3 linked regions of the Elephas maximus indicus genome follow. The protein of the gene in region 2 interacts with the protein of the main gene of each other region in a pairwise test. Links are inferred from orthologs where the notes say so. Each region holds a gene or a part of one and is shown on either strand. Other genes may lie near its edges. The genes, in order: ALG13, BAG4 and UNKL.

Region 1 (10,486 bases), on a different chromosome or scaffold from region 2:
TTGGATCAAGTAGACACATGAGACTGTGTGTCTAATCCTAATCCTAATCAAGATCATTAGAAAAGATACATCAGTTATAAAAGTGTATTCATCATTTATGGAAAACCTACTGTTTCAGTAGAGGACTCAAGAATGAGTAAGACGTAGTTCCTCCCCATCTAGACTGTAAGAGATCCTCCAAGGCAGGAACATGTCTTGAGTTCTTCTGATACAAAAGTAGATTTTCATTATGCATTTATGTTGGAAGATTAAATGAATGACTAAATAAATGGGCTTCAGAAATTTAGGAAGTAAACATGACAGCATCTGGTGATTGATCAGATAGATAAAAAGGGTAAGAGATATAAGAGTTAAAGCCTGGAGGACTGACTAGATGGTGACACCATTAATTGAAATTGGAATTAAAAAAGGATGAAAAGGAAAAATATGATTTAGGTTTGAGGCACATTAAGTTTGAGGTGCTTACAGAATACACAGACATACATGACCAAAAAAACTGTTGCCGTCAAGTCGATTTCAACTCATAGCAACCCTATAGGACAGAGCAGAACTGCCCCATAGGGTTTCCAAGGAGCAGCTGGTGGATTCAAACTGCTGACTATTTGATTAGCTGCTGTAGTTCTTAATCACTGCACCACCAGAGCTCCAACATGACCAAGAGGCAACTGGAAATACCAGTCACCTCAAATCAGAGTTAAGAGATACAGGCAGGGGAGCCATCAGTAGTAGCAGCTCTGGAAATGAAAATACCAAGAAATAATATATAAAAAGGATCAAAAAGAGAACCGTAGAACACAAATATTCAAGAAGAAAACAAGAGCCAATAAATAACTTGCAACTGGCAGTTTTTCCACATGGATTCTTTGAGTAGCAACCAGTTTGCTTTTAAATAGCAATGTAAAAGCTAAAATGGATTATGTACCTGTGGCTGTCATACAATCTGAATTTCTTGGGATAGTCCTACTTCAAATATTCTATCCTACTGTTCCATAAATGATTAAAATATCCTAGATTTCAGTGTTCCAATTACAACTCCCAGACCATACCTTGGATCTTTAAGTGACATAAAAGTCCTTTTTCAGATGATGTCCTGAGTTGACTTTCCTCAATTGCGAAATTGGACAAGACTATTTCATAGAGATTAATTCATGTAAAATGCTTTGACTGGTACCTGATACATACTAAGTGCTCAAGTGTGAACTGCAATTGTTATTTTTCATTCCCTCCACCTTGTGAAATTAGCGGTACTAGTTGTAGAGCAGAAAACTGATCACCACATGGCTATCATGACCACCCATTTGAATTTTCTCCAAAAACTGACTTCAAATAATCTGTCCAGATATTTCACTTCTCAAACTATATGTAGATTTTTTATCATCTCTGGAAATTTAATATTATGAATAAATAACAGGGATTACATAGGTGCTTATACCATAATAACCCCAACCAAACCCATTGCTGTCAAGTGGATTCAGACTCACAGCAACCTTACAGGACAAAGCAGAACTGCCCCATAGGGGTTCCAAGGCTGTATATCATTACGGAAGCAGACTGCCACATCTTTCTCCCACAAAGCATAATAAAAGGCCAAGAAAAGTTACCGGTATTACTGCTAGTCACTTGTGACTTTTTAGTCTTGGAAAACTCTTCCTAAAACTATCAATCAAGAAAGTGGTACAGAACATTTTTTATTGTCCTCTGTATAATCTGCCTTTAAAAGCATACAAATTAGCATTCTAAAGTGTCTATAAATCATACTTGACAATACTTTTAGACATGACTACTTTTAAATGTTCCCAAGCCTCACATCAAGTTTATTGGATATGCTATTTTACCATCAATTCCTTCCAGCTCTTATTGTCTTCCCTTTCAAATTATAAGCACGCTGTCATCCAAAATGCTCACCTCACAAGGTCATCCTACGACCTCACTTTTCACCTACTCCACCACTATAAACTTTCTACTATTATTACCTTATTATCTGTCCATCCCTGAACCTATCCACAATGTGAATTTCCCAAAATACTAAACCCTCTTTTGCTTCCTTATCCTCTAATAGAAAACTGCTAAATAAACTGCATTCCACTTACTGATTTAAAAGAACCTGAAGCTGTGGTGGCATAGTGGTTAAGTGCTACAGCTGCTAACCAAAGGGTCAGCAGTTCAAATCTGCCAGGTGCTCCTTGGAAACTCTACAGGACAGTTCTACTCTGTCCTATAGGGTTGCTGAGTCAGAATCGACTCAACGGCACTGGGTTTGGTTTGGTTTGAAGCTGTTATCAGCCATGTAATAAAACCAAACATTTAACTTTATTGAGCAAATCTTTTAAACAGAATTTTGATTACCATTTTTTTCTCATAAGGACTAAATTAGATGTGAAATTGGCCATTAATTTCTTAGCCTGTTTCCTCATCTGAGTGGTTCGGCCTAGATGTTCTTTAAATTTTCTTCCAGCTCCAAAATTCTACAATTCCTTGTCTTAGTCTTTATTCGTTCAATCTAAGTATCAACCCACAGCATTGTGACAGACTCCAAACAACTAAGGAATCACAGATTTCTAAGTCTGACTCTATGTCCTAGGTAAGGTAGAGAATGGGTCGTCATAAACCAAAGGAAAACAAAGTAAGTGAAGTGAATTGAACAACTTCTGAAAATAAACAAAACCATCCTTGGAAGGGATCAGTGTAACCAAATATTAGGCAAACAATTATAAAGAACCAAAAAATGTATGTATATTATAGTATGGTAAAAAGAGCACAGGACTAGGAGTAAAGGAATTGTTTCTAATGCCATCTCTGCCAAAAGCTGTTATTTTGGGCAAGTCATAACTTCTGGCCTCTTTCCTCATTTAAAAACAATGGAATTGGACTACATAATCTTGAGGATCCCTGCCAACTCAAAATGATTCTAAAGTATCCTTTGATTTAGAACCCCACAAGTGATATAAAATTTCACAAAGGTGTAGTCAGAAATGTTACACAATTGACACCATTGGCTTAACTCTCCACGAAATGAAATAATGAAATCTAGGTTAATATGCAATGATTATGGCACTGTGAATTCTCAACTATGTATAGATTACTCACTTTTTAGATTATTCTCAGCAAAATTTTAATCCAAGTTGGCTTCCTCTTGCTACCCAGAGCACTTCTTAGCCACCACCTTCTACGCTTAGTAAGAACGTATTTTAATATTAGCCTAAGTAAAACACAATTGGGAAAATAAATCTACAAACCTTATATAAAGCATCCCAAGTTAAAATGTTTCAAACATTCAACATATTGGGATAATATAATGGAATGTAGGTCCTCCTCATAAATGTTCTGTTTTTTCAGATAAACTTTCTACCAGAGAACTATGGACACTTAGGAGTAATCTCGTGTATTTTAAAGGTCTTGAGACCACTTACTTTAATTAGAAAGAATTCCATAATGTACCTATCTCAAGTTATCCTGTAAACTTTAAAACCACATCTTTAAGTCATTATCCACATCAGATCATTTCTTATTTGTAACTAATTCAAAGAGCATATAAATTGTAAATTTCTATATGTTACAGTAATGTTCCAGTACCAATGTGGGGGGCAGTCCTTAAAAAGTAACAGTAAACCCTACTGGTAGAAGTCCTTTTTGATTTCTTCTCAAAGTAGTAAAGCGTTGACATTGGGCAAGATTATTTTGCTATTTCAGAGAAAAAAAGTGAACATATCCACTCCACTCTATTCTTTGGGATGAAAGTAGTTTCTCCAAGTACAACAGAAAAACTGCCTTCATAGTTAATCTTTTTTTAGGCAATTATTGAGCTTTTTATTTCACAGAGTACAATGTATCATTTTTGCTTGTCTTTTTTTTTTTTTGGAATTTGGTTCCTTGGATTATGAATCTAAAAATGCTGACCCTCATACAAAGATATTTTTTAAAAGTGTTACTGTTTCATTTTCTAGTCTAAGAGACAGCAAACTGACTACATGTATAGTTCTTGCCAAAACACTTCATCTTAAGAAGTTTTCAAATCTCATGTTTTTTTTAATGATTCCAAACGCATGTGTGATTCTAGGATAAAAATTGTGAATGCCCACTACGTGTTTTACTAAAATATGAATGAAGATTAGGGAAAATCTAGCAAGTTTACTAAATTGCAAATAGGATTTGGACCCAAATGCAAATGTTCATACCATAAAGTTTTCTAAGCATTCTATAGATGTAGTTTATTAACTGATATTACTCTGCAAATACGTATTATATATTTGATTTAATCACATCCCATACGTTGGATTTGGGGGTGTTTTTAAAGCGTTGAGAGTTTAGTGTTTATTTTTGTAATCCAACAACTTTATCCAAAAATGCAGAAAATTTTTCTGGCTGGCCAGGAGGAAAACATTTCAGTGTTGATAAGTCCATTGACTGTAACAGCCCAGGAAGCGTGCTAAAACAAAAGAAGAAAAATATTAAGTAACATGGGAGAAAATTCCATAATTCACCTGCTGCCCACTTGATGACTGACTCTAACTTCCAAGAATACAGCGCTGCTTTCCAAACTGTACAAATGAATTTTAAATGTATTTTAATAATATAAGTATTCACACTTAGAAAAGATTACTAAAGCAAAATAGTACATAATGCCAATATTAATTCAATAATTTATCTTTTGTATCAACTATTTCAGAAATGTTATTTCATGAAAGATGTATTCACATGGCTTTGTAATACTACTTAGGACTAGGCACAAAAAAATTGAAGCACAATTAATTTATGAAAAAGGAATAAATGAAGCCAAAAGTAATAGCAGCCAGGTAAGAAAGATAAGCTGGGGAGACTATTAGGTCATCCCTGACAATTGTGAAATAACTTTTTCTGCTGGTAATTTACTATCATAAATCCATATATAATTAAGCAATACGTGATCACCATGCATGTTGGAAAGGTTCTAAACTGCAACATAAAACTAACACATCAGAAATTTCATTAAGCCAGTCACTTAAATTAGTACAGACATACAACCACCCAGCCTAGATTTTGGGAAAATGATTTACCTGAAAGGAAAACACAACCAATTATTGAAATTCTTACTGCTTTCATGTATGTGACTTTCTTGAATATAAGACTTTTAAACTGCAAAAATAGAATAAATTGGAGACTTGTACAGCTAGCTTCCTTTTCAGCCTGAGTAAAATGTCAGGATGTGTTTATGAAATCACTGTTTTACTGTTTTTAATGTACTGACATAAAATCAAAGCTAATTTAACATCTAGAATGAAAATACTCATCAAAAGTCTCGGGAAAAATTGATCTGCATAAACCAATTAAGAAGATGAGAGTGTATTCCTTTAAAAAATAATGTTAACCCCTAACAATCTCAACTACCTAAGGGCAGACAGATATGCCCACTATTGGAAGCCTAAATAATTTTAACTAAGTTCCTTCCGACTCACAATACTTTAAGGCTGGCTTCTATATTACAAAGCCACCCTGACATTCCTTCTCCTTCATCACTACCAGGATGAGGACCAACAATTATTCTTGAAACAATCAATGAGTCTGTCTCCCATCAATGAGAATGGGGGTCTTTTGGTTTGTTCACTGATGCATACCAAGTGCCTACAACAGTACCTGACACATATTTAATAAATAATTTACTGAGTGCCTGAGATAGAAGCAGTAAAATTAAAAAAGCTTCTTACATTCTAGCCAGTTTCTTCTAGTTTATTTTATATTTTAAAATTAATTTCAATTTACTATAACATAAAACGTGGGGCAGTTCTACCCTGTCCTATAGGGTCACTATGAGTCAGAATCGACTCAACGGCACTGGGTTTTGGGTTATAACATAAAATATATTTTTTTCTAATACTTTCATAAAGTATTTATTTTTTGAAATATGAAATTAGGATAGGTTTTAAAGTCAAACAACTGGGAATTACTGACCTGACCTTTTTGCAAGCTTCTGGTGTCTTAAGGGAAGCCTACTAGAAAACAAGCCAGCAGTTTTCTTCATCCTTCTACTGTGATGTTGATCAGTTCTTCTTGAATTTTAGTATACTTCTAGAAAATAGTACTCCTTACCATAAAGTAATTCCTCTGCTTAAAATGCTCCAATGGCTTCTCACTGAACATAGAATAAAATCAGAACTCTTATATAAGCTACCCCCGCCCAGCATCATCTGGTACTACACTCTCCCTTGCTCACTATGAACCTATCACATGAACCTTCCCTCTATTCCTCAAACACTTCAAACTCATTCCTACCTCAGGGCCTTTTTAACTGCTGTTCCCTTTGCTTCCAGAGCATCACATGACTGACTCTTCCTTGTCATTCAGGTCTCGCTCAAATGTCATGTACCTAGTCATGCCTTCCCTGATCATCCTATCTAGTCTTCACCTCAGCTATCATATCATCCTTACTTTCTTCATAGCACATTTCATCATATGAAATCCTCTTGATCATTTATTACTTGTGAACTTGTTCACTGTTTATCTCCCATCATTAGAATGTGATCAGGAACTTTGTCTCTTGTTTCCCACTGCACCCTCAGCACCTAAAACAGTGCCTGGTACATACTTAAGTGTAACTGAATAAATAAATGTGTAGGGATTCCAGTGGATGTGCTGAAGGCAAAATCCTCATTAAAAATAAATGCTTTCCTTGAAAAAAAAGTCTAAATAAAGAACAAAAAAGTTGTATTCCCAGAGATTTATGCACCCAGATGAACATGCACCTATGCACACACACACACACACATTCGGATTATCATATACAAAGAAAGAGCCACAGATACACAAAGAAGTACAACACACAAACCAGTCAAAGTAGAAAATAAATGAGAGGGTTTTATAGGTGAGAAAATCAAAGTACGTTTGATAGGTGGAAGAAGGTAAGAGGCAGAAGAGACAGGCAGGCAAGTGAGTAAGGCTATAAAAACAGCTAGGAAAGAATTAAGACAAGGTCAGTTAAACAATCAGTCTATAGTATACCTGCAGGTACAGTAGAAGAGATGCCCCTCTTTGTGTAGCTGCTTTGCCAATTCCAGCTGATGATTGTTCATCAACTTTTCATTTATGACAACTACAAGTGGCTTTCCCTTTTCCAGAGTCTCCAAACAGCTTCCTGCACCTACAAAAATATATCAAAATTTGTTAATATAGTTTTAAAAAAAAGGCACTCCAAACTAAACCCCCACTACCACTGAGTTGATTCTGATTCACAGTGTCCCCACAGGGCTTCCAAGGGTGCAAATCTTTACAGAAGCAGATTGTCACATCTTTCTCCATGGAGCAGCTGGTGGGTTCGAACCTCTGATCTTTTGGTTGGCAGCCGAAGGCTTTAACCACTGTGCCACCAGTGTTCCTTTAAGGTGCTCCACCATTCTTTATAGCTACAACTCAAAAGTTAATTGGCAGAACCACAAATCAGGCCTTTCAATTACCTATTTAAAATGAGAAAAGTAGTTATCAATTGCTCTCTAAGAAGCGACTTTAAAAATACATTACTTTATCATCTCCGACAATATTATGGCCTATGATTCAGTGCTTTGTCACTTGCCCTCTAGTCAAATGCCCTGGGAATAGCCTTGAATCCAGTTAAGATCCAGGTTCAACATACTTTAAGTGACGTTTCCACTCAAAACAAACAACAACAAAAAAAACCCAAACCCATTGCCATCAAATCGAGCCTTCAGTAGTGGGAGGGGAGGACCCTTGTCCTCAAGCGGATTCCAAGTCATGGTGACCCCATGGATTATATAGTAGAACTGCTCCACAAAGTTTTTTTGGCTCTAATCTTTATAGAAGCAGATTGCCAGGCTTCCCCCGTGCACCACTCGGTGGGGTCTTTTGAATCGCCAACCTTTAGTTTAGTAGAGACCTAGAGCCCTGTAGAACAGTAACCACTGGTGCCACTCGCACCAATAAAGAAAAACCCTGACTACTCCTTGAGTCTGTTAGGTCAACCAGAAAAAAAAATACCAAACAAACCCATTGCCATTAAATCAATTCCAACTCATAGTGACCCTGTTAAGTAGCATCCCCAAAATAGTGGAGAACAGATCTCAATGAATGTGCACATATACAACATTAGGACAATCCAACTTTGAAATCCAAAATCCTTTAAATAAATAAATAAACCCGTTGCTGTCAAGTTGATTCAACTCATAGTGACCCTATAAGACAGAGTAGAACTGCCCCATAGGGTTTCCAAGGAGTGCCTGGTGGATTTAAACTGCCAACCTTTTGGTTAGCAACTGTAGCTCTTAACCACTATACCACCAGGGTTTCCTAAATTCTTTAGATATCTCAAATGGGAGAGAGCAGACTGATAAGTAGATAAATCCTTTTTAGACAGACTATTTTAGACAGTATACAAGGGTAGTAGTTAAGAACACAGACTCCAACACCAGACTGTTAAAAGTCTGTCCATCACTTACTGGCTGGACAAGTTATTTAACCTCTCTGCCTCAGCGTCTTCATTTGAAAAATAGATACTAATAGTACTTAAATTCATAGGATTGTTTGGGAGGATGAAAGGAGTTAATTCACACAAAGCTCAAAGAACGGTACCAAAAGCTGTTAGCTATTATCCTACACATTTTTAATGGCCAATCTGTCTGTAATGTCTATTTCTAATGGCTTTTCTCTCCTCAAACCATTTAGACTTTTTAAGAATAAATAAACTCCTCACTCATGTATCCAGCAGTCACAATCACAATACCCGCCAAAAACTTCTTAAGGTACTGACAGTCTGATTACTAGACAACCCGCATTGTTTTCTGAAGAGCAGACAATGATGGTTATTAAAGAATGTTCTTGACCGCATTCATTTCACACTCACATTTAGTAGAAATGTAAAAAATCTTTCAAAACCAATTTCTCAGATCAATCCAACACATTTCTTCAATTGGACCCCAGCAGATATAAAGCCGAATACTAATCTCAAGACTGTTATTGGATAAATCCTTCTGCCTGTGTTTAGGGTTTCTAAGGCTGGGTTAACAAAAAAAAAAAAAAAAAAAACCCAGTTGCGTTGAGTCCATTCCGACTTATCTTCTCTCACTCAGAAAAAGTAAATTTTCTCCAATAAAGTTCCCAATTGTTATATTTAAATAACTCAAATAATCATTAGATTCAAAGGGGCTACAGTTAAGTTAGTGCAGTGATTTTTACCTCAAGGTTCAAATTCTTTATTGCCTATCAAAAATCGAACCGAGATTCCAAGGCACTTTACCTGCGTGACTAACAACAAGATCTGCTTTCTGAAGGTCTTCTTTTAATGAATCCTTGTAGTTGTAAACATCCAGAGTAAATGACTCAGTACTGAATGGTTCAGGTACCACGGTGCCTCTACCAATCTGTAGGACAAGTCGGCTGTACCCAAGACTCTTGATTATCTAAAACGGGGGAGGAAAAAAAGCGACCCTTTAATCAGGCTACTGTGAAAACAACAGTAACAACCGCAAACCCTAAAGTCAGTGTGCAGACTTGAGCACGAGCTGCCAAATATTCTAACGGGATTCAGGTGGTTTTCCTCAAGAATCCTTTGACCTGGACCTGACAAGGTGCTTCAGTAGCCCTAATGAATGCACGCGACCCAGCTCACCAAGTGGTGAAATAAACCGGTCCCGGAGAGATACGACAGCAGGCAAAGACTTAGGAAAAAGCGTCAAGTGGGGCGGGAATTAAGCAACCAGTTCGTTCGCCTCACAGACTTGGTTGGCTGAGAGAAGCGGCCGCCTGAGGAGAGGACCCGCTCAGGAGCCGGTCGTCCTCTGAGGAGCGGGAAAAGCTCGGCTCCGGCAGGGGCGAGGGCGGGGCGAGGCCAGACAGGCGCCAGGAAGGCGGCGAGGGGGGGAACGAGGAGCTGGCGCCCACCGCTAGGTCTGGGAGGCACAGGGGGAGCGGCGAGGGGGCGGGCAGGCGAGCGCCTCAAGTCCGAGGGGCGGAGCCGTGGGCAGAAGGGGCGGGGCCGGAGAATCGGAGGGGGGAAGCTTGTGACAGGAGGGGAGGAGCCTGAGAAAGAAGGCGCGGGGGAAGGGCTCTGAGAAGCTGGGCGGGGAAGCGGGAAGAGGGAGGCGGAGGGGGGCCAAAAAACGGGCAGCGGCACCTGAGGTGAAGCTTTTTCTCTAGCAGCGCTGCTAGCTGGGAAGGTTAGCGAGGCTACAAGTAAGGCTTGTGAAAGCGAGAGGCCAGCAAAGCGAAGCTTGCGAAGCCGCCGCTGGCCCGCCTTCCTCACTCACTTGGAGAGTGTCCTGCGCCGAAACACACGCAATGAGGTCGTCAAAGCTGGTGGTCCCGACAGTAACGAACAGGCACTTCATCGCGCGGGTTTCACAGCCCTGCATCACAAGGGCCGGATGTGACGTCAGGAGGCCACGCGAGCTGCCGCCACCGGCTCTGAGGTGGAGGCGAAAGCCCGCCATGGCCACTAGAGGGCGGCGAGACCTTGGTCTGTGTCACTGGTGTGGTGGGACCAAGGACTACTACGGGCATTTTCACT
Region 2 (10,196 bases):
CAAACTACCACAAAATGGGTGGCTACAAACAACAGAAACTTATTCTCTCACAGTTCAGTAAGCTAGAAATCCAAAATTAAGCTGTTAGCAGAGTTGGTTCCTTCCAGAGGCTTGAGGAAGAATCTGTTCCACGCCTGTCTCCTAGCTTCTGGGGATTGCTGGTAACCCTTGGCATTCCTTGGCTTGTAGTTGTGTCACTCCAATCTCTGCCTCCATCATCACATGGCCTTCTTATAGGGACACCAGTCATTGGATTTACGGCCACTCTAATCCCCTCTGACCTCATCTTAATTGATTATACTACACAGACCCTATTTCCAAATAAGGTCACATTCTGAGGATCCAGGTGGATATGAATTTTGGGGGGAACACTACTCAACCCAGCACAGTTGCTTCTTGTGTGATTTTTATAGTTGTGATCATAACTACAAGTAGCTCTTAGATTAGGGATTCAATTTAAAATGAAACTTTCCTACTTTACTCTTCCTAAGCTTCCAATTAAATTCAAGTGTGCAGAGATCATTAGGTAGAGCTATTAAGAAAACTTTTATTTTTTTCAAGTAATCCCTGGGAATCAATATTTTCTTCATATAGAAAAAACAACAACAAAAAAAAAACTGGTTTCTTTTTTACTCTAGTTTTAATTTTATTTTACTTCCCAAAATAGCCTCACTGGACTCTCTAATCAACATTAGATACTAAAAAATAAATTTAGAAGTATTTTACGAATTTATATTAAACACTATTTTGTTTTATATATATTGAGGTTCTTAGTAAGATTCCATTTTTAAAAAAACAGTGCTTCCAGAAAGCTAAACACAGTTCGAGCATTCAATCCAGCAATCTCACTCAGAGGTAATTACACAAATGCAATGAAAACTTAAGTCCACATAAAAACTTGCACGAATGTTTATACCAGCCTTACTCATAATTGCCAAAAACTTGAAGCAGCCAAGATGTCCGTCGGAAAGTGAAAGGATAAATGAACGTAATACATTCATACAGTGAAGTATTATATAGTGATAAAAAGAACAGAACTATCAAGCCGTGAAAAAACAAGGAGGAACGTTAGATGCATATTGCTAAGTCAGAAAAGCCAGTCTGAAAAAGCTGCATACTATATGACTCCAGCTATATCACATTCTGGAAAAAGCAAAATTATAAAGACAGTGAAAACATTAGTAGTTGCCAGGAAGTCAGGGAGAGAGGGAGGGATAAAGAGTTGGATTGTAGGGCCTTTTTAGGGCAGCGAAACCATTCAGTATAGTACTATAATTGCGGACACGATAGTAAGCATTGTTGAAGACCCAAAGAACCACACAACCCAAAAAGTGAACATGCATAGAGTCACCATGAGTCACAATAAACTCAATGACACCTGATTTTAGGAGTCCCTGGGAGGTGCAAATGGGTAAGTGCTCTGCTACTAACCAATCAGTTGGTGGCTTGAATCCTCTGAGAGGCACCTTGAAAGAAAGGCCTGACAATCTACTTCCAAAAAATCAGCCACTGAAAATTCTATGGAGCACAGTTCTACTCTGACACACTCGGGGTGGCTATGAGTCAGAACTGACTCAATGGCAAATGGTTTGGTTTTATTGGTTTGAGCAGTGCAAATGGTTAACGTGCTCAGCTGCTAACCGAAAGGCTGGAGGTTCAAGTACACCCTGAGCACTACAGAAGAAAGGGCTGGTGATCTACCTCCCAAAAACCAGCCATTAAAAACCCTGTGGAACACAGTTCTACTATGACACACATGGGGTTGCCATGAGTCTGGTGTCAGCTCAGTGGCAACTGGTTTTAATGTAAACTATACGGAAGCAGTGCTTCAGGGGTCGAATTCTTGCCTTCCACGCAGGAGACCTGGGTTCAAATCTCAACCAATGCATCTCATACGTAGTCATCACCTGTCTGTCAGTGGAGGCTATGATGCTGAACAGGTTTCTGTGGAGCTTCCAGACTAAGACTAGGAAGAAAGACCTGGCAATCCACTTCCAAAAATCAGCCAAACTTTCCAATCCACAACTGATCATGGGGATGGCGCAGCACTGGGCAGTGTTTGTACATGAGCTTGCCTTAAGCTGGGGGGACTGACTCAAAGGCAGCTAATAACAACACGGACTTTAGGTAATAATGTATTGATACTGACATTGATTCATCACGTGTAACAAACAGACCTCAGGAATGCAAGATGTTAACAGGAGAAATGATGTGCAGGGGGAGGGGGCACATGCAAACTCGGTACTCTCTGCATCATTTTTCTGTAAACCTAAAACTGCTCTTTTTAAAAAAAAAAAAAATTCTATAAAAAAAAATACACACACAACTGAGCTTCCCAAACTTTTCTATACATATGAATCACTTTGGGATCTTTTTAAATTGTACTTTCTGATTCAGTAGGTCTGGGACCAGGCCTGAGATACAGCATTTCCAACAAGCTTTTAGGTGATGTAGATGCAGTTAGTTTAGGTAAGTATAGCTAATCGGGTAAAGAAAAAAAGTTTATTTCTTTAAAAAACGAAAACAAAAAAACAGGGAGAGAGACTTCCCATTTTTTCCCTGCCATATTCGAGTATATTAATACAGAGTCACGTCTTTGTTGTGGTTCAGTGCAACACTGTCTCAATATATTAAGTTCTCTAGAGCAAAGCTGCTCAGATGTTAACACGTATGAGTCACCTGGAGGTTCTACCAAAATGCAGATGCTGATTCCGTAAACCTGGAGCAGGCGTGCTACTGACGCTTCTGGTGCATGGACTGTACTTCCTGAGTGCCAAGCTTTTCAACGGTTCCTACACTTTTTTTTTTTTTTTAATAGTTTGACAGATTTGATTATATTGTACGGTAAAACTTTCCAAAAGCCGAAACCTGTGTAAGGCAGAGGCCTGTCAGAGATGGAAAACGCAAATATTTTCCACTAAAACAAGCAATAGAAAAGTGGTAAGACTGCACTCTGTCAACAGCAGAAAACCTGTGAGACCCGGAAAAACAAGGCAGTCCCATTAAGTTTCCGCTCTTACAGGTTTCACTGTATAAAAATGTAGAAAAAGCAAACAAACTGGGGGAAAAACATTTGCAACACCTGTGACAACACCCATATCTTTTGTATTCTATTCCTTTGTAACAAATTACTCTCCTGTACTTTGAAAGTTTCAGAATTATCAACCTGAAAGGTAAAGTCCAAACTTTTTTAATGGCTTATAAATGCCCATTACACATTTCCAGCTTTATCTCCAACTACTCCAGCACCATTTCCTACCTTCTGTGCAGGTACTCTGACCCTACCTGACAATTCCCCACACAATGCTAAAATCTTAACTTCCCTAGTCTATCCAACACTTTCCTAACCCTACAAGCAGAAAACAGACTTTTGTATGATACAGCAAGCCCAGTACGAAGTCCTCAGTTCAGTGGTCCTCTCCTCTTTACCTTCAAAAGATCTTTGGTCTGGTTTTTAGTTAAGCATTTTATCATTCTACAACGGGATAAAACTCCCACAGTCTAATTATCCAGATTTAGGCAGAGAAAATATGGACTTTTCTTCACAGTAAACCTTCACTGCATGTTTTCTCTCACGCAATTTTTTTTATTGCTATATATTCACATACCATAAAATCGATCTTTTAATGTGCACAATTTAATGGTTTCCGGCTAGAGTTGTGCAACCATCACCAGTATCTAACTTTAGAACATTTTCATACCCACCCATCCTGCCCTACACCACCCCACCCCGCCCCTAAAAAAGCCTAGTACCCATTATCGATTATTCTCCATACAACCGTCCCTCCAGCCCTTAGCAACCACTAATCTTTCTGTCTCTCTGGATTTGGTCATTTCATATAAATGGAATCACACAATATGTGGTCCTTTTTGTCTGGCTCCGTTCACTTAGAATGTTTTCAAGGTTCACCCATGTCGTGGCACATATCTTCCTTTTTATGGCTGAATAATATTCCATTGTAGGAATATATCATATTGTGTTTATCCATTCATCCGCTGATAGACATTCGGGTTATTTACACCCTTGGGCTATCACGAATATGCTGCTGTGAACACTCCTGAGCAAGTTTTTGTATGGCTATGTGTTTTCATTTCTTTGAGGTACATACCTAGGAATGGAGTTGCTGGGTGATATGGTAATTCTATATTTAATTTTTTGAGGCACTGCCAAACTGTCTTCCAAGAGACTGCACCATTTTACATTCCCACCAGCAATATGAGGATTTCACTACCACATTTTCATCAACTGAGAACGTTATAACCACTTGAAGGAAAAGAGAAGTGTGCCATCACAATATAGCGACAATCCTCTACTGAGAATAATGCATTAACAAAACAGAAGTATATTTTCAGCAGAACACGGAGTATCTTAAGCAAGTGAGTTAGCCTCTCAGCGCTTCCTGTTCCTTGTTCGTTAAACAGGGATGCTGTAATGACATTTACCTCGCAGTTGCCATGAAGATTAAATAAAACAATCCACGTAAAGATGCTTTACAATACTGATTATTCGTGATTCAATCCCGGGCAAAGCAAGAGGGCAAAGGGCTAAATGCCTAGATCCCTCCTTCTCTTTCACGTCCTTCCTCACGGGAGGGGCTGCTGAGTGACAGCGGGGGCTGCAGCCACTTCCCTTCCTAAGACCGGCTTGCCGAGCCACGCAGGATAAATTGTTAGTGCAGAGCCGGGTCACTCCAGCCCAATGCAATCCCAGGCGACATACCCCTTGGCAGGCAGGGCAAGACCGTTTTTCCTTTTCATTGGTAATAGCTACATTTATTATGGTCGAAACAGAAAAGGAGGATCAAACAACACAAGCACATCCCTCCCACCGATGGCCCCAGTCTCCGTCTCTCCAATCCCCCAAAAGGAAAATAAAACGATCCATTAACGAACCCCGGAGATACATCAACTCCAAGAGCCCTCACCCCCAAAGACCCTCCTACCGGACCCCCAGAGGCAGATACAAAGCTTACCTGGGGGCTTCCTGCAGTTCGACCCGGCTCCGGCCAGGCGCCCCCAGAGGGATAGTAGCCATCGCCTCCTCCGACTTCTACCTGCCAGGTGGTCTCAGTCGGGCCGCCCCCGCGCACCCGCCAGGAAATGGGAGGCTGGGGAGGTTCAGAGCGAGGGGGATATAAGGGCGGAGGTGGGTGCACGGGCACATCTCCACCCCCAGGCCCGTAGTAGCGGCCATAAGGCGGACCGTCACTGGGGCCGTAGCCCGTGCGCCTCAGGGCCGACATGGGCTCCACTGCCCCGAAGCGCTTCCCGCCCCCCACGGCCGGCCCACTGCGCAGGCGCCTGAAAGCGAAGGGGAATGGAGAGCAGTGAAGGGGGTAGGACGACAACAGCCAATCCCAGGCCCGGTCCCGCCCCTCCTACTGCCCGGTCTGAGAGTTGAGGGACATAGGTCCGCGACTCTGGTGTCTTGGAAGCAGAAAAGTGAGGGGAGGCACTATGTTTCTCACAAGGGAGAATATATTTTCCCACGTTTTATCCAATCTAGACTCCTCTTCCCCTCTTCATCAGGGACGGGGAAAGGATGTCCTGGGACCACACAACGGCCCCGCCCCTTCCTGAGGACGGGCGCGTGATGCCGGAAGTGGGCGTGGTAATATGGAGGCGTTTCCGGCAGGCCCCGGCGGCTGAAAGCCGGGGCGGGAGTGCGGTCCGGGGACGGGTTCCTGTCCCGGTCCCGCCAAGGCGGCGGCTGCAGTAGGAGAAGGGCGGTGTTGGACTCGCTGGCCCGTTGCCGCTGTACATTACAACCTTATCTCAACTCAAAATGAACTATATGCCTGGCACCGCCAGCCTCATCGAGGACATCGATAGTGAGTAGTTCATCTTCTCACGGTGAAGTCTGGGATGAGACCCTTCCTCCCGGGTGGGCGCGTTTTTGGAAGGAGATTGTAGAGTGAGTCCAGGGCAGGGGACCGTTTGTTTTGAACTCACTTGTGGGTGTTCCGCGTTGACATTCTCTACAGCCAAGGTACACATCGCATGACACCCCACACGCCCTACTACCTTAATTCTGCCCCCCCGCAACCTCCGCCAGTCCCCGAACTGTGGAATTCACTCCTACTTGGAGGGACGGAGCAGCCGAGGCCCGAACACGAAAGTGTCCCAGCAGACTTCTTCCCCGCCCACTGTCTCCCACCTGGAATATCACGAAGTACTGTACCAGGTTACCGAAGGATGGCTAAGAATACTTAGAGAACGGACCCATTAAGAAACACCAGTTGCACTTAATTGGCAATTAAACGGAGGCTTTATTCTGATGTATCCTTGCAATCTTCATTTACCATGAAGGTGTTAAGCACTTTAAGTTTATGATAGTAGAGACCAGTGGCAGACATCGTATTGACATTTTTGGAAAGACTGAGTCACTTCAAACTTTTTTTTTTCTATTAGACAATTTTCTTCTACTTTTACTGACACCTCCCTTCTTCCTATTTACTACCCTGAAGGGGAGCTCAGGCCTGTACAAAAGCAAGAGGACCTACTTAACAGCTGTCCTGTCTTTCTTTTTTCTAAACTGTTCTCTGTGGATTATTCCTCAAGCAACATGTTTTATCGTTTTAATTGTGTGATTTGTCTCATTAACGTGTAATTGCTGCAAAGTGGTTTGCAAACAGCTCCAGACAAATTGCAGCAATCTCTCTTGATGTCGGTAGCTGAGAGTATGCCAGTTAGAGTGAGTCTATGATTAAATTCTCTGTGATCATTTTTTAAGTCCAAATTATTTATTTTGCTATCAAAAGGAAATGTAAATTGGACCAAATCCATAAATGAACAACTGTGCAAGTCTGTCTGTAATGTGTAATGATTTTAGTTATCTGAGGATGTCCTTTTTCCCCACGCCTCCCGTGTTATAAATCTAAATTATCTGAGGTCCCTGACACATCCCACCATTTTACTAAAAATCATGTTTATTCTCAGGTCTCTAACCGCTACCTATATGTAGATTCCATGTCCCCTTCTCTTTTTTTTTTTTTTTTGGCCAATTTAACATTTTTCACATGTACAATTTGTTGTTGTGGTGGTGGTTGTGTTCACTTGTAGCGGCCCCATGCCATACAATTTAGTGACATCAATTATATTAATCATATCAGGACTCCTTCTTTACCTAGAAGTTTGAAGCTATTTGATATGCATCCCACCCCCTACCCCCACACACACATTTTCTTCCCCTATCCTCAGTCTTTCTGTATCTGCACCCATCCACTTGTTTGAGTAGGTAGTATTCCTTTTGTTCTGTGTGTGCATATATTTTCTCTCTCCTCCCACTGCTTCTGGACCCTTGTTCCATTAATATCCTTTTTTCTCTTCTATCTCTCTTTCCTCCTGGATCCTTCCCTTCGGCTGTGTTCTTGTCTGTCCATGCTCAGACATTTTTCTCAGCTGTGTCTCCCCATCAGACTCCCATCCTTTTTTTCACATCTTCACCCCCAAACTTCTTTAGTCATCTCTGTTTTAACTCTGCTTTCTGACCATCTGTGATAGACCACAAGGAGCCCTGGTGGCATAGTGGTCAAGTGCTTGGCTGCAAACCCAAAGGTGGGTGGTTCAGACCCACCAGTTCCTCTGCGGGAGAGAGCTATGTAAAGATTACAGCCTTGGAAACAGTTCTACTCTGTCCTATAGGGTCACTGTGAGTTGGAATTGACTCAACAACAATGGGTTTGTTTGGGGGTTTTTTTGTTGATAGACCACCTCTGTTACCCCTGCAGTCTGTTGTGTTAGTTTGTTTTTGGTCATCACCACTGTACTGAAGATGCATTCTTAAAAGTCATCAATCAACAGCTCTAATGCACACTTCTGAATTCTCTTCCTCACCGCAGCATTGTTTACTGTCACCACTACATTCTTAATTCTATTTCTTGACTTCTTTGACAGTGATACTTGCTGATTTTTTTACCCTTCAAACTTCTCCTATTCCCTAAAATAGGTAGTCTCTTAGATTTCATCTTTGGTCTGCTTCTTTCTTTAAATATCTAGGAGACCTGGACTATAATAATTAAATCACCTCATTGTGGATTTGTCCAAAATTGCTCTAATTCTGACCTCTTTGGCATTCCAGTCCTTCATTTCCAACTGCCTGCTGATTTTTCTACCTAGATGTCCTGATAGCACTTCAGAATCACAAACAGGTAATAACCTTCCTTCCTAAGGTTGATCTTTTTATTCCCAACTTTTGGTAAATAACCCTCCTAGACATAATGACTCAAAACTCACATCTTCTTTAACTCGCTTCTTTACTTTACTGCCCCACCACTCACACGTATCCACACGCACAAACTCAATGAGTTGACAAATCCCATCACTTCTGCCTGCACAGTGTTAGCCTTTTCATCCTTTCTGTTCTCTTCTGTACCATGATTCAGCTCTGTTCTTCATGCCTCAGGTATAATCTGGAAATAGCCTCCTAACTGCTCTCCTTTTTCTGCCTGATCAGTCTTCAGTGTTTTCTTGTTCCCTATGAAATAAAGTCCAAACTCAGCCTGGCCCCTTTCTGACTTCATCCACTGTTACTTCTCTTCACACTCTCAACTTTCCGCCTTTTTTTCTTCTGTCTCATTTACAGATTTCCCTCCCTTTATCTTTCCCCATCACTCTTTCCGTGCCCCAAAACCGTCTACCTTTCAGGATCCCACTCAGACACCTCCTCCAGCTAGATATATTTCTTTCTCTGAAGTCTCATGTAATTAAAAATTGCGTTCTTATGGTACTTAGTTACAGCCCAAGGAAGGCTGTAAATCCCTTCAGGGCAGAACCACTATCTTGTTCCTCTGTTCTGCTTCTAGAAAGTATTTTATGCATGGCATTAGAGAAATGAATTGCTGACATTTCTAGTGACTGGCTTCTTCTCATTGTTCAGATGTCGACTCAGAACCCCCTCTTCAGAGAACTATTCTCTCACCAGCTTTTCTTATGTAGCTACTTCCCCTCTCCCTTCATCATACCATCCTGCTGTCTTTATTATTTCATTGTACTAATCACAATAGATAATTTTCTTGTCTTTCCCCATCAGAAATAAAAATTCATACGGTTGATAACTTTGAGTCTTATTCTCTGCTGAAAAAGTACATAGCTCTCAATAAATATTATTGAGTTTCTGTTCCAGCTTGTTCTCAGAGTCTTTATTTTGAATATCTAGACACTGGTTTTATTTACAACCTTCCCTAATCCCAAAGTGTGCGATAGAAACTCATCTTTTAAATTGAGGGGAAAATAATTCTAGATTTAAGATCATGTAGACTAAATTTCTCAATTTGCAAATGTAGAAGCTGACACTGAGCCCTAAGACACCCTTCCAACCTGGAATGAAGCCATTCCCAGAGACCACCTCCCAGCCAAACAATAGACAAGCACATAAGATAAACAACACCCAAGAGGAACATACTCCCTAGAAGGATCAATTATATGAGATCAAAAGAGCATTATCTGCCCAAAAGCAAAGATGAGAAGGCAGGAAGGGGTAGGAAATCAGGTCGAAAGAAAATGGGGAACCCAGCGTGGAAATGGAGAAAGGGGAGAGTGCCCACACGTTGTGAGGAGTGAAACCAAGGTCATGAAACATTGGACGTACAAACTATCGAATGGGAAACGAATTTGCTCTGTAAACATTCACCTAATGCTCAATTTAAGAGAAAAGAAACTGACACTGAGAGGGTTCCAGTGTCAAACATCAGGGCGTAGAGCCAGCCTGGTCCTTCACATTTCTTTACTGCACTGATTTTTGTCACCACTGATCTTGTAACCTAAATCCCAGGCGATCTCGGTCCTCCCTTCACTTCTCAAATAAACTCCTGCAGCTACAAAACTGCTATTAACTTTATTTCTGCTGCTTCCTTGTAAACTCACTGAAGCTAACAGTTTCGTTCTAAAGATCTTTTTCTTTTCCCAGAAAAGCACTTGGTCCTGCTTCGAGATGGAAGGACACTTATAGGCTTTTTAAGAAGCATTGATCAATTTGGTATGTATCACTTACGGACTTGCCCTTCTCTTGTACTCTGGATAATAATCGCTGCCCATTGCATTTTATGTGTGTGTGTGTGGCCTCATGTTGAAATTTATCTGTAGCTTCTTCCCCTGTCTGGCATAATGGAACATGACTTTGAATCAATACATCATTGTTTTCTAAATTACGAATAGGTGGTTCAGAAAGCTTGTGGTTCTGAAACTGGTTTTCACCG
Region 3 (11,077 bases), on a different chromosome or scaffold from region 2:
TGTCCCAGACCACCAGGTCACACATGACGAAGGGAGGGATCAGTGTTCGTTGTTGTACAGGATTGCCTGCATCCCTGGGGTTACACAAGAGGACGTGGGCTTGCGAGTTGCTGGGGGTGAGCCTCAAGCTCAAGTGGTCCCCAGCGCTTCGGACGCTCCTTGACTGCGCCTGTGTGGCGAGCGGAGGTGGGTCCTTCCCTTTGGCCTGGCGAGGGCAGAGGGTTCACATAGGCCCACCCGCCGGCTCTCACGGAATGCTGCGTGGGAGTAAGGCCTGGGTCTCCGCCATTGCAAAACTTCCTCCAAACATCAGCCCCTGACGCCCCGGAGGCGGGGAGGGCAGGGATGTTCGGGCGGGGTCCGCGTGATGGAACCAGAACCTCCCCGAGGCGAGCTCATCCCTCCTCTGCCCCCTCCCTCCAGCCTGGCCCCGCGTCGCTGCCCGAGGACCCGGCGAGATAGTTCCGCTTCGGGCCGAACCGGGAACTACATTTCCCGGCATACACTCGCGGATCCCCGGAGATGGGGCCTGCGGCGGAAGAGAGATCTGAAAGCTTTATGTCATTTCCTGTGCGCGACTGGGCCCACGTTTTGCGGTCGTGAGTGGAAGCCTGAAGCGACGTCAGGTTTCCGGTTTCGCGCGACGGAAGTCGCGAAGCGAGGAGTCGAGGTCGCAATGAGCTGTGTAGTGTTTGAGCCGGCGCCTGGGTAAGCTCTGCGCGGTTTCGGCGGGGCCAAGGGCGGGAGCCGGTGGGAGGACTGGCGGAGCGCTCACTGCTCTCTCTCTTCCAGGGTCGCCCGGGCGCTGAGGTTTGTGCGCTGGGTTTCCCAAAGCCCGCACCCGCCGTCCAGTGGCCGGGCACGGGCCCAGCCGGTGGCCAAGGGGGAGGAAGAGGACGACTTTAACCGGCCTATCCAGTTTTCCTCCAGCAAAGCCAACCCGCCCCGCTGGACGGTAGAGCATTCCCTGGGAAGGGTACAGCAGCGGGCTTGGTGGAAAGTGCTGCCCCTGAGTATCTCCTTCCTCGCTCTGTTCGTCTGGTGTTTTCTGAGGCAGGAGAGCAGCTCGGACGAGTGTTCGACTGGTGTGCTGGGAGAAGAGACAGAGCCCAGTGATCGCTCCTAGGAGCCTGTTACTGGCAACTGGGAGAGAACTTAACGGAGTGCCCCCTGGGGCTTCCGGGAAGGCAGCAGGCACTGTCCTTCGGCTTTGATGTCGCGTTTGACCTTTTCTGCCCTGGGTATGCGTCCGTCCCCAGCACTGAAGGGCTTGATGAATGGCGCACTGAAGGCAGGGTAGTCTCAGCAGATGGAAACCTGTGCCTTGCCTAGTACTTGATGCCTAGTAAATCAGTCCAAGAGACGTTTCAGACGCAGAGGAAAGGTTTTGTTTCCAGTGTGTGGTGTTAGATTTGCGATGTCTTCTGTGAAACATGTCCCTAAAGACACTTGTAATGCAGTGTTACTTTTCAGGTCATCTGGCTTCTGAGTCACAATAACCGGCGGAAGTGTTACATTTTTGAGCTCATAACATACTAAGGTGTGTGTAAATAACATCTATTGATCTTTTACACACTTAACAAATTGAAAATAAATTTGGTGGCATGAAATCAAGACAATTCCTTTTCTTTCTTTTTCTTGCACTTTATTACAAAACGGAGGGCAAGGAGAGCAGGTTAGCAGGCCAACAGCCATGTTTTTCTATGTCTTTTTTTTTTTTTCCCTAGTGTAGGAACTGAGAAAAGAAACAGAAATGTAAATTGTGGAATGCACTATCTGATGATGCCAGAAATGACAAATTTTCTCAGCTTTCTGCAAAACTTTATTTTTAGCAAGGCAACACTTTTCTGAGTAGAATAAACCAGTTAGTCAATTCTTTTGACAAATTATGGACACTATTTTGTGTTACCTAAATTGACTTCTTTCTCAAGTGAGTAGTTATTAGAAAAATCAGCTTGATTCTGAAATGCAAGATGCATAAGGGATATTATTACACACTTAGCCTCCCAGTGGAAGGTTTGTCTTAGTGTATCTGTGGTGCTGAAGTTAATTGGAGGCTTCACCAGGGCAGATGGTATGGTAATATACAGGTAGTCTCCAACTTATAATGAGCCACACATAAGGCCGTCTTTTTCATTTTTATTTTTTGGTACTTCTTATAGTCAGTAACATGCACTGCATACAATGTTGCAGCATGTAATTGGTGATGTTATTATTCTCAGATGTTCAAAGGTTGGATTTATAAGGATACTGATGATAAAAGGTGATAATAATGAAGACTAAAAAAAGAGGTATTTAGCTTACATCAGAACCAGCTTAAAACAGTTGCAGAATCCCATCGTTATCAGGGACTACCTGTACTAACTTCTCCTAATGCTTTTGTGCTGAAGTGCTTTCCATGTTTCCTGCACATCCATAAAATTATTTGTGTGAAGGAGGTGGGCCAGTGGAAGCATGTTCATTTTTTTTTAAAGGTGGAGAAACCAAGGTTTGGGAAGATTGACCATCTCAGCTCAGGGAGTATAGTTCCAGCAGGATCAAAGAGTTAAGACTTTTATCTCAGACTTGGAGTGGTTGTGACTGGTTGTGGACCATCTGGTTTGAGCAGCAGTCATTCAAACCCAAGCCCCTGTTTTACTCTCACTAGCTTCTGCAGGGAAACAAAGCAGAATGAATGGGAAGAATTTCTGTTTGAACTGAAAGTTACTATCCTATTATAAAAGTAATATATATTTTATCTGGGAAATCTAGACACTAAAATAAGCAAGAGGAAGAGAATAAGAAACAGCAATAATCCTACCACCAAGAAAACCCTGTTGCCGTTGAGTTGATTCTGACTTATAGCGACCCTATAGGACAGAGTAGAACTGCCCCACAGAGTTTCCAAGGAGTAGCTGGTGGAATTGAACTGCCAACCTTTCGATTAGCAGCCCAGCTCTTAACTACTGTGCCACCAGAGCTCCAAGAGGTAACCACTAAATGCTTCATTGCTTTCATTTCCTGGATTTTTCCATGCATATATAAATACTCAATTTTTAGAGAAGCACAAGTGGGTGAGTAACATTGTTTTTGATGAGACATCACACCACATGCAACAGACCCTGAGTGCCTCCAGGGTAGGTCTCTGAGGGCTTTTCCAATTTATTACTTCACCCCAGAGACATGGATAAGCTTCATTGTCACAGCAACTCAGCAAAAAGAGAACTCAAGGCCAGCTGGCAACAGAGGGCAGACCTGTCTACACCTGGACTTTTCAGTCCTTTCATTAGTTAGCTGTTTTTGTAGTCTGCTGCCTTATTTCCCCAATGGGCCTGTAGATTTTCTATTTCCCTAGCTACTTGGCACATTGATTTTTTCATGTGAGTGCTCAGTTAGCACTTTCAGGGACCAGTGTAAGCATGCTGAAACGGAAGCTGTTGCAGAGATTATTAAAATGATAAATTGTTGGGCAGAAACCCAAAACCCGCTGCCGTCAAGTCGATCCCGACTCATAGCAACTCTGTAGGACAGAGTAGAACTGCCCCATAGAGTTTTCAAGGAGTGCCTGGCGGATTCAAACTGCAGACCTTTTGGTTAGCAGCCGTAGCACTTAACCACTACACCACCAGGGTTTCCTGTTGGGCAGAAGGAGGAGGAAATTGTTAGAAAAGAAAAGAGATTGGGAGAGAATCTTTTTAAAGAAAAGGAAGCTAACTAAATGGTCACTTCTAAACTGATGAGCAGTCTTAGAATACTGGTGGTGCTATGCATTTCCCCCCAAAAGAAAAAACACTTCTAGGTTCACAATGAAAACCCTGGTGTTATATAAGTCTGAGCACTACCCCAGCCTTTTAAGAACTTTCTTCAAAAGCACAAAAATGACCTTTTACATCCGTACAATGTATCACAGTTCTTTCTGACTTCAGGAAAGATACCCAGTGGGTGAGAATAAACAGGGCATCTTCACTCCCACCTCTATAAGAGAACCCCAAATCCCTTCATCTTGAGCTCCCAGCTTCCCCTGGACACAAATACTGGACTGGCCCACAGGTTCCATGAATGCCTTCCAAATTGAAATTCACCTCTCCCAGTCTGTTTCTTCTCCTTTGTTCCATATCTCACTTAATCTCATTACTATCCACCCAGTGCTCTGAGCTTGAGACCCCAGTTAGACCTTTCTTTCTTATTCCTGACATCCTGTCAGTTTTCAAGATCTGTTTATTTCTCTTCCAAAGAATTCACGAGCCCTGTTCCCCTCCCCAATCCATCCTCCTGCTTGATCTCTGAAAATACCACGTTCTTTCTTGATTTTATCCTTTTAATTTCAAGATTTTAACGTAATGTTTGTAGAGGTCATAGTTTGAAATGTGAAGATATGAATAAGTCTTTTGTCCTACCAGCTAGTAATAGTTTTTGCTATTTTACTGTATTCTTTGCATTTAAAAAAATTACATAATTGGGAACAAATATGGAAACTTTATATCTTGCTTTGTTTTTCTTTTTAAATTTATCTTGTTGGTTCTTGTTTTGTTTTTAAGCTAAATGGCATTTTGTGAGTCACTAAAAATTCTTAGGACACATGGTTATTGAACCATGGCATAACCAAAAAAAAAAAAAACAAAAAACCCAAACCCATTGCTGTCAAGTCAATTCCAACTCATAGCGACCCTATAGGACAGTAAAACCGCCCCTTAGAGTTTCCAAGGAGCACCTGATGAATTCAAACTGCCAACCTTTTGGTTAGTAGCTATAGTACTTAATCACTACGCCACCAAGGTTTCTAAAGCCATGGTATAGCATTAGTAATTTAAATATTTTCTGACTACTAGACTGTTGTTGTTAGGTGCCGTTGAGGTGGTTCTGACTCAGCGACCCCATGTACAACACAAAGGAACACTGCCCAATCCAGTGCCATTCTCACCATTGTTGCTGTGTTTGAGCCCCTTGTTGCAGCCACTGTGTCAATCCATCTCCTTGATGGTCTTCCTCTTTTTCACTGACCCTCTACTTTACCAAGCATGATGTCCTTCTGCAAGGACTGGTCCCTCCTGATAACATGTTCAAAGTACGTGAGATGAAGTCTCGACATCCCCACTTCTAAGGACATTCTGGCTATACTTCTTCTAAGAGATTTGTTCGTTCTGGCAGTCCATGGTATATTCAATATTCTTTACCAACCTCATAATTCAAAGGCATCAATTCTTTGGTCTTATTTATTTTCCAATGTTTGTATGCGTATGAAGCAATTGGAAACACCATGGCTTGGGTCAGGTGTATCTTAGTCCTGAAAGTGACATCTTTGCTTTTTAACACTCTAAAGAGATCTTTTTGCAGCAGATTTGCCCAGTGCAAAAAGCTGTTTGATTTCTTAACTGCTACTTCCATGGATTGTTAGTCTAAACTTTTTGCAGCCTAACTCTGTGGCAACTATCTTTAAACATAAATCTTTCAATCTGATTTTTAAAATGTCTCTTATGACACACACTTACAAGATAATGTACTCTAGCCCTGGGTGCCCCCTGACATACACTCTCCTCCTTCTCCTCCAGGGCCTGCCTACAGTGGGGCCATGTGTGTGAGGGCTGTCCAGTGGTGTGATTGCCTGCTTCTCATAGTTCCCACCCTTGGTACATCCCTGCCCCATGCACGTGATTGTCACCCTGTTGGTGACTGTGGTGTCTGTGTCTCCCCCTCAACTCAGCCTCTTGGATTCATTTTTTTTTTAAACAGCTTTATTAACATATAATTCACATACTATTCAATTCGCCCATTTAAAGTGTACTATTTATTCAAAAATATAAAGTAAAAGCACGTTCACAGAGTTGTATAACCATCACCACCATCTCATTTTGGAACATTTCCCCACCCCCTAAAAGAAACCCACACCTATTTGCAGTCACGCCCCATTCCCCTCTCCTGGCCCCCCACTTACTGGCCCTAAGCAGTTGGATTCCATCTTTGTGGCCCCAGCACCTAGGACATCAGTGGGTGTGGGGGCTGCGAACGCGCGTGGCCTGTGCTCTGGGTGGGTGTCCGAAATTGCAGAATGCGTAGGGCAGGAAGGTGGGGGCGATAGCGATGGTCGGGGAAGGGACTGTGGTGGGTAAGAGGGTGAGATTGGCAGTGGGCTTGGGAGAGGCGGTGCTGCCGTGTCGGGGGCGTGCGTAGCCGGTGTGACCGGGAAGCTGTGCGCGCGGGCTCGGCAGGTCTGGGGGCGTGGCGGGGGCGTGGGTCGGTGGGCGGGGGGAGCGGGTGGGTTCCGCGCGGGGGGAGAACCGGAGGGGCGGGGGCGGGCCCGCGCGGCGCATGCGCACTGCATTGTTTTTGCCAGAAAATGCCGTCGGTTTCGAAAGCGGCAGCTGCGGCGCTGAACGGGTCCCCCCCGCAGACAGAGAAACCGACCCACTACAGGTCAGCGCGGCGGCGCCAGTACGTCCGGAACGGCGGGAGGCTGGCGACTCGGCCCCTCAGCTTGCGGCCTGTCGTCGGCCGGTGCGGCCTGCGCCCGCGCTCCCCGCCCCCCCGCCCCCCCCGCCTCCCGCCCCCCCGCCTCCCACCTCCAGCTTCAGGTCGGGGGCGGGGGCGGGGGCGGTGTGGGGGTGGAGGCAGCCATCGGCATTTGTGCTGCGGCCGCCCGAGGTCGGGGGCGGTACCCGGGGTTGGGGGACAGGGAACGCGCTTGAGATTGGGGGGAAGGGGTGGCCATCTGGACTCCGGCTGCCGCCGCTCGGGGTCAGGGGACCGCGCCTGGGGTCGGGGTGGCACCCGGAGTCGGGGATGGGGGTCGCCATCTGGACTCATTGTGCCGCTGCCTGAGGTCGGGGGCGGTGCCTGGAGTTGGGGATCTGGGATCCGCGCCTGGGTTTGGGGGTGGCACCTGGGCCTGGGGGACAGAAAACGTGCTTGGAATTGAGGGGAAGGGGCGGCCATCTGGACTCGGGCTGCCGCCGCCTGGGGTCAGAGGTCCGCGCTTGGGTTCAGGGCTCTGGGATCCGCGCCTCAGGTTGGGATAGGGGAGGCCATCTGGACTTGGGCTGCCGCCGCCTGGGGTGGGATAGCACCTGGGCTGGGGGGCAGGGGCGCGCCTGGGGTAAGCCTAGGGCCTAGGGTGCCGCACTTGGGATGGGGATACCGGGTACCGGGCCTAGGACCTGGGAAGCCAAGCCTGAGTGAGTTCAGAGGTCGGGGCTGGGTCGGGGGTCGCGTCTGGGCTCCCCTGGGGGGGGGGCGCCGCCTGCCGGACCGGCAACGCTGTTTGTCTTTTTAGGTATCTAAAGGAGTTTAGGACAGAGCAGTGCACCCTGTTTTTGCAGCACAAGTGCGCCCAGCACAGGCCATTTACCTGTTTCCATTGGCATTTCCTAAATCAGCGTCGGCGCAGACCACTCCGCAGGCGCGACGGCACCTTCAACTACAGTCCCGACGTGTATTGCCCCAAGTATGACGAGGCCACTGGTGTGTGCCCCGACGGCGACGAGTAAGTGCCTGACAGAGGCCGGAGGCCGGGGGCCAGCGCTGCCAGGTGTGACATTGCCCGCCGTGCCCGTGGCCCCATCAACGGGCTTATAGGAACACTTGTTCGCTCCACCTCCAGGTGCACCTGGGATCTTTCCTTTCTTACTATTTAAAATTTTAATTTTTAAAAAAGGTTGATAGTAAAGAAAGTTGTTTTATCTGCAGATTTAGAGTTTAAGAAACCAAGGCTTGAGTTAGGATTTTTTTTTCTTTACAAACTTCCTAGTGGTGCTGTGAACAAATGTCTTTATTTTGAAGTTTGTAGAATGGGAAAACAGAAAATAAAGGAAGATTGTATATTCACATAATGGGCGGAAATTGGTAGTGGGAAGTTTTACTTTTTTTCTTATGAGATGTTCAAGCAGGGGGAGGGTGCTTCCTTCCTGGCCCATGAGCTTCTAAAATAACAGTTTGCTCAGCTTCTGTTAGGATCAATAGCTGGATTGGGTGGGGCCTTTTTAAATTTTATTTTTAACATAAATATATAGGTACAGAATATCTGCAATTTCATCAGTCTTCACAAGTAGAGTTCAGTGACATTAAACATGTTCATAACGTTCAACCATGGCCATCAACTGTTCTCGAATTTTTCCATCATTGGCTGGGCTCTTGATGGCTAATACCCTGATCCCATGTGGGGCTGGGCGGGTGGGGGAGCTGCTTCTCCAAATGTGTGTTCTGTGAAGAGCTTTTCACACTGTGCAGTTCAGTGGCATCACCATGTTGTGCAGCCATCACCACTCTACATTCAGGGAGTGAACTTCTGATCATGGCGATTGTTTTATAAACTTTAAACACCTACTGAAAGTCTTTTAATTGAGTACTGGAGGGATAGTGTTGTTGGTTAAGGCATTTTGGATCCTAACCTTGAAATCAAGTAGCCAGCCCTGCTTCTGAATTGGAAGTGTTTTTGATTAAGATGGTGTGGGACTTCTATGCAATTTTATAAGTGATATTTTTGATTACATGCTTAGTTGCTTCTTGAGCTGATGCTCTACATACAGGAGTCTTTAGAAGAAATATGTTTGTGTGGTTGAAGCCTGGACTCAGGTCCCTAAAATCCCACTGTCCCTTAGTTGAGCCAGTCTCTCTCTGCATCTTGGGTCCTGAGTCGCCCAGTGGGGACTCCGCTGCCCAGCCCTGGTTCAAGGATTTGGGTCGCAGCAATGCCAAGGCCAGTGACCTGACTTGCCTGGTCCCGTTCTAGCGTTGAGTGTGGGAACTAATGGTAATGTTTTCATGCAGAGAGGAAAGCGTCTTGTAATAGCTGGGTGTCCTGTTTTTGGATCAGCCTCCCTCAACAGGGCACCCATGTCCAGTTTCTAGCGTCTTGGCGGTGCTTTGCAGGCACTGCCGCAGCCCCCTACCCAGGGGTACTCTTTTGAGGTCATTATGTGGAGTGAGTTTATTACTAAATATTAACTTCAATAATAGAAATACACTCTGAATGGCACGTGGGTCCGTCGTTGAGAAACATGGTCAATGGGTCCCCAGTGCTGTGTGACATGTTCTGTTTTGGATGCAGCCTGTGTGCATTGGCATGTTGTGAGAAGGTCATGGGTCTTAACTTTTACTGAGGACATGTAATGACTGTGACAGGCCAGACCTCTCCCCAGGAATCTCTCCTGAGTACATTAACGCTCATTCCACTGAAGAGGGAGAAGGACTTTCCCTTTGCCCCACAAATGTAATGGCCCCAAATTTGTCCTGTTGCATTACTTATTCTGGGTCATGCAGCATTGCTGTGTAATTCATAAATAGATTCTACTTTTCAGAGCAAGGAGGAGGACTTACCTTTTATTTCAGTTCATTCCCCCCCCCCTTTTTTTTAAAATTTTTATTGTGCTTTATTTTTTTTTTTTAAGTGAAAGTTTACAAATCAAGTCAGTCTCTCACACAAAAGCTTATATACACCTTGCTACATACTCCCAGTTGCTCACCCCATAATGAGACAGCTTGCTCCCTCCCTCCACTCTCTCTTTTTGTGTCTGTTTCGCCAACTTCTACACCCTCTACCTTCTCATCTCCCCTCCAGGGAGGAGATGCCAACATAGTTTCAAGTGTCCACCTGATCCAAGAAGTTCGCTCCTCACCAGCATCCCTCTCCAACCCATTGTCCAGTCCAATCCTTGTCTGAAGAATTGACTTTGGGAATGGTTCCTGTCCTGGGGCAACAGAAGGTCTGGGGGCCATGACCACCAGTGTTCCTCTAGTCTCAGTCAGACCGTTAAGTCTGGTCTTTTTATGAGAATTTGGTGTCTGCATCCCACTGCTCTCCTGCTCCCTCAGGGGCTCTCTCTTGCGTTTCCTGTCAGGGCAGTCATTGGTTGTCTGTGTGGCCCTTTCTATTTCTTGGGCTCGTAATTACCTTGTGTCCTTGGTGTTCTTCATTCTCCTTTGATCCAGGTGGGTTGAGACCAATTGATGCATCTTAGATGGCAGCTTGCTAGCGTTTAGGACCCCAAACGCCACTCTCCAAAGTTGGATGCAGGATGTTTTCTTAATAGATTTTATTATGCCAATTGACTTAGATGTCCCCTCATTTGGTTTTGAAATTCCAATTTGGGGCACATGTATTACCCACCTGTTATTTTAAAACATGAATATGTATCAAAGAGCAAGATCGTTCAGCCAGGTTCAGGGGAAATGAGCCAGGAACGTTGTTTTTGGCACAGGCCGGAGGTGCTATGGGACAGGAAGGGGGTGAGTGGGTACCTCTCCTTGACGGTCAATCACCCCATGGTCACCCCAGTCACAGGCTTTCCTGAGCAGGAGGACACCCCTCCCCACCCCACACTACATCCCCTCACTCCCCCTTTGGGCATACCCTCTGTCACCTTGCAGTGGGCCCCTCCATGGTCAACCTCCCCATGGGCACCCCTGCTGTCCTTGCTTTCCTGAGCATGTGGCATCCCCTTTCTTGTTATCTACCCCTCCCTGTGACACCCCCGCTGTTACTTCTTGGTGGGCATCCCCACAGGGGTTACCCCTTTCCTCGGCAGCCAGCTCCCCCATCACCCCATCCTCCATGAGCCCCCCTCCTGGCATAGAAAGTGCCCCCCTTGGTCAGGGAGGATATGCCCCTTCCAGGCACGGGTGAGGATTGGCTGCCCACCTCCCCTGCTGCCCAATAGCCTGAGGGAACCATGGGTTGCCTGGCCGCCTGTACCCCAGGTGCCAGGTACAGGTTCCAATATCCACCCAAGATCGGCAGCCAGGCTGATGCTCTTGGCTGGAACTGGCACTGGGCCACTGGCCCACACCTGTGGACCACACCTCAAAATACTCTTTCCAGAGACCCTGCTTCCAGCCTGGCTTCCCTACTGGCCCTGGCTGGGGTCTCCCTGGTATGGTGTATCCACCATGCTCTCAGGCACATCCCTCCCAACAGTTCCCCAATCCTGCACTCGGGTATCAGAGCCACAGCCTGTCCCAGTGGGTGATGATGGGATGAGCAGGTGATGCCACTTGGGCAGTATTTGTGGTGGTTGTTGACTTTGAGAGAAAACTTTTCAGAGCGTCCATCTCTATCTAAGTGAGGCCTCAGGTTGTTGGTCTGTATCCTGTGTGTTTGGACATCCAC

Evidence for each region.
Region 1: the proteins of BAG4 (region 2) and ALG13 interact in binary tests that used the Homo sapiens proteins (3 or more experiments, as listed by UniProt). The link is inferred for Elephas maximus indicus from reciprocal best matches to the Homo sapiens genes BAG4 and ALG13.
Region 3: the proteins of BAG4 (region 2) and UNKL interact in binary tests that used the Homo sapiens proteins (3 or more experiments, as listed by UniProt). The link is inferred for Elephas maximus indicus from reciprocal best matches to the Homo sapiens genes BAG4 and UNKL.

Annotation. Positions count from the first base shown.
Region 1 is NC_064846.1:45,772,319-45,782,804, forward strand, and holds the start of ALG13 (putative bifunctional UDP-N-acetylglucosamine transferase and deubiquitinase ALG13), read right to left. Parts: upstream 4,311-10,486; 5' UTR 3,088-4,310; exon of another isoform or gene 1-3,087. UniProt on the Homo sapiens protein: Catalytic subunit of the UDP-N-acetylglucosamine transferase complex that operates in the biosynthetic pathway of dolichol-linked oligosaccharides, the glycan precursors employed in protein asparagine (N)-glycosylation.
Region 2 is NC_064840.1:62,578,944-62,589,139, forward strand, and holds the start of BAG4 (BAG family molecular chaperone regulator 4), read right to left. Parts: upstream 5,278-10,196; 5' UTR 5,244-5,277; coding exon 4,974-5,243; intron 1-4,973. Other genes in the region: U6 snRNA-associated Sm-like protein LSm1, read left to right, coding at 5,786-5,831, 9,908-9,976. UniProt on the Homo sapiens protein: Inhibits the chaperone activity of HSP70/HSC70 by promoting substrate release. Prevents constitutive TNFRSF1A signaling. Negative regulator of PRKN translocation to damaged mitochondria.
Region 3 is NC_064830.1:58,557,353-58,568,429, reverse strand, and holds the start of UNKL (putative E3 ubiquitin-protein ligase UNKL), read left to right. Parts: upstream 1-6,311; 5' UTR 6,312-6,313; coding exon 6,314-6,390; intron 6,391-7,246; coding exon 7,247-7,456; intron 7,457-11,077. UniProt on the Homo sapiens protein: May participate in a protein complex showing an E3 ligase activity regulated by RAC1. Ubiquitination is directed towards itself and possibly other substrates, such as SMARCD2/BAF60b. Intrinsic E3 ligase activity has not been proven.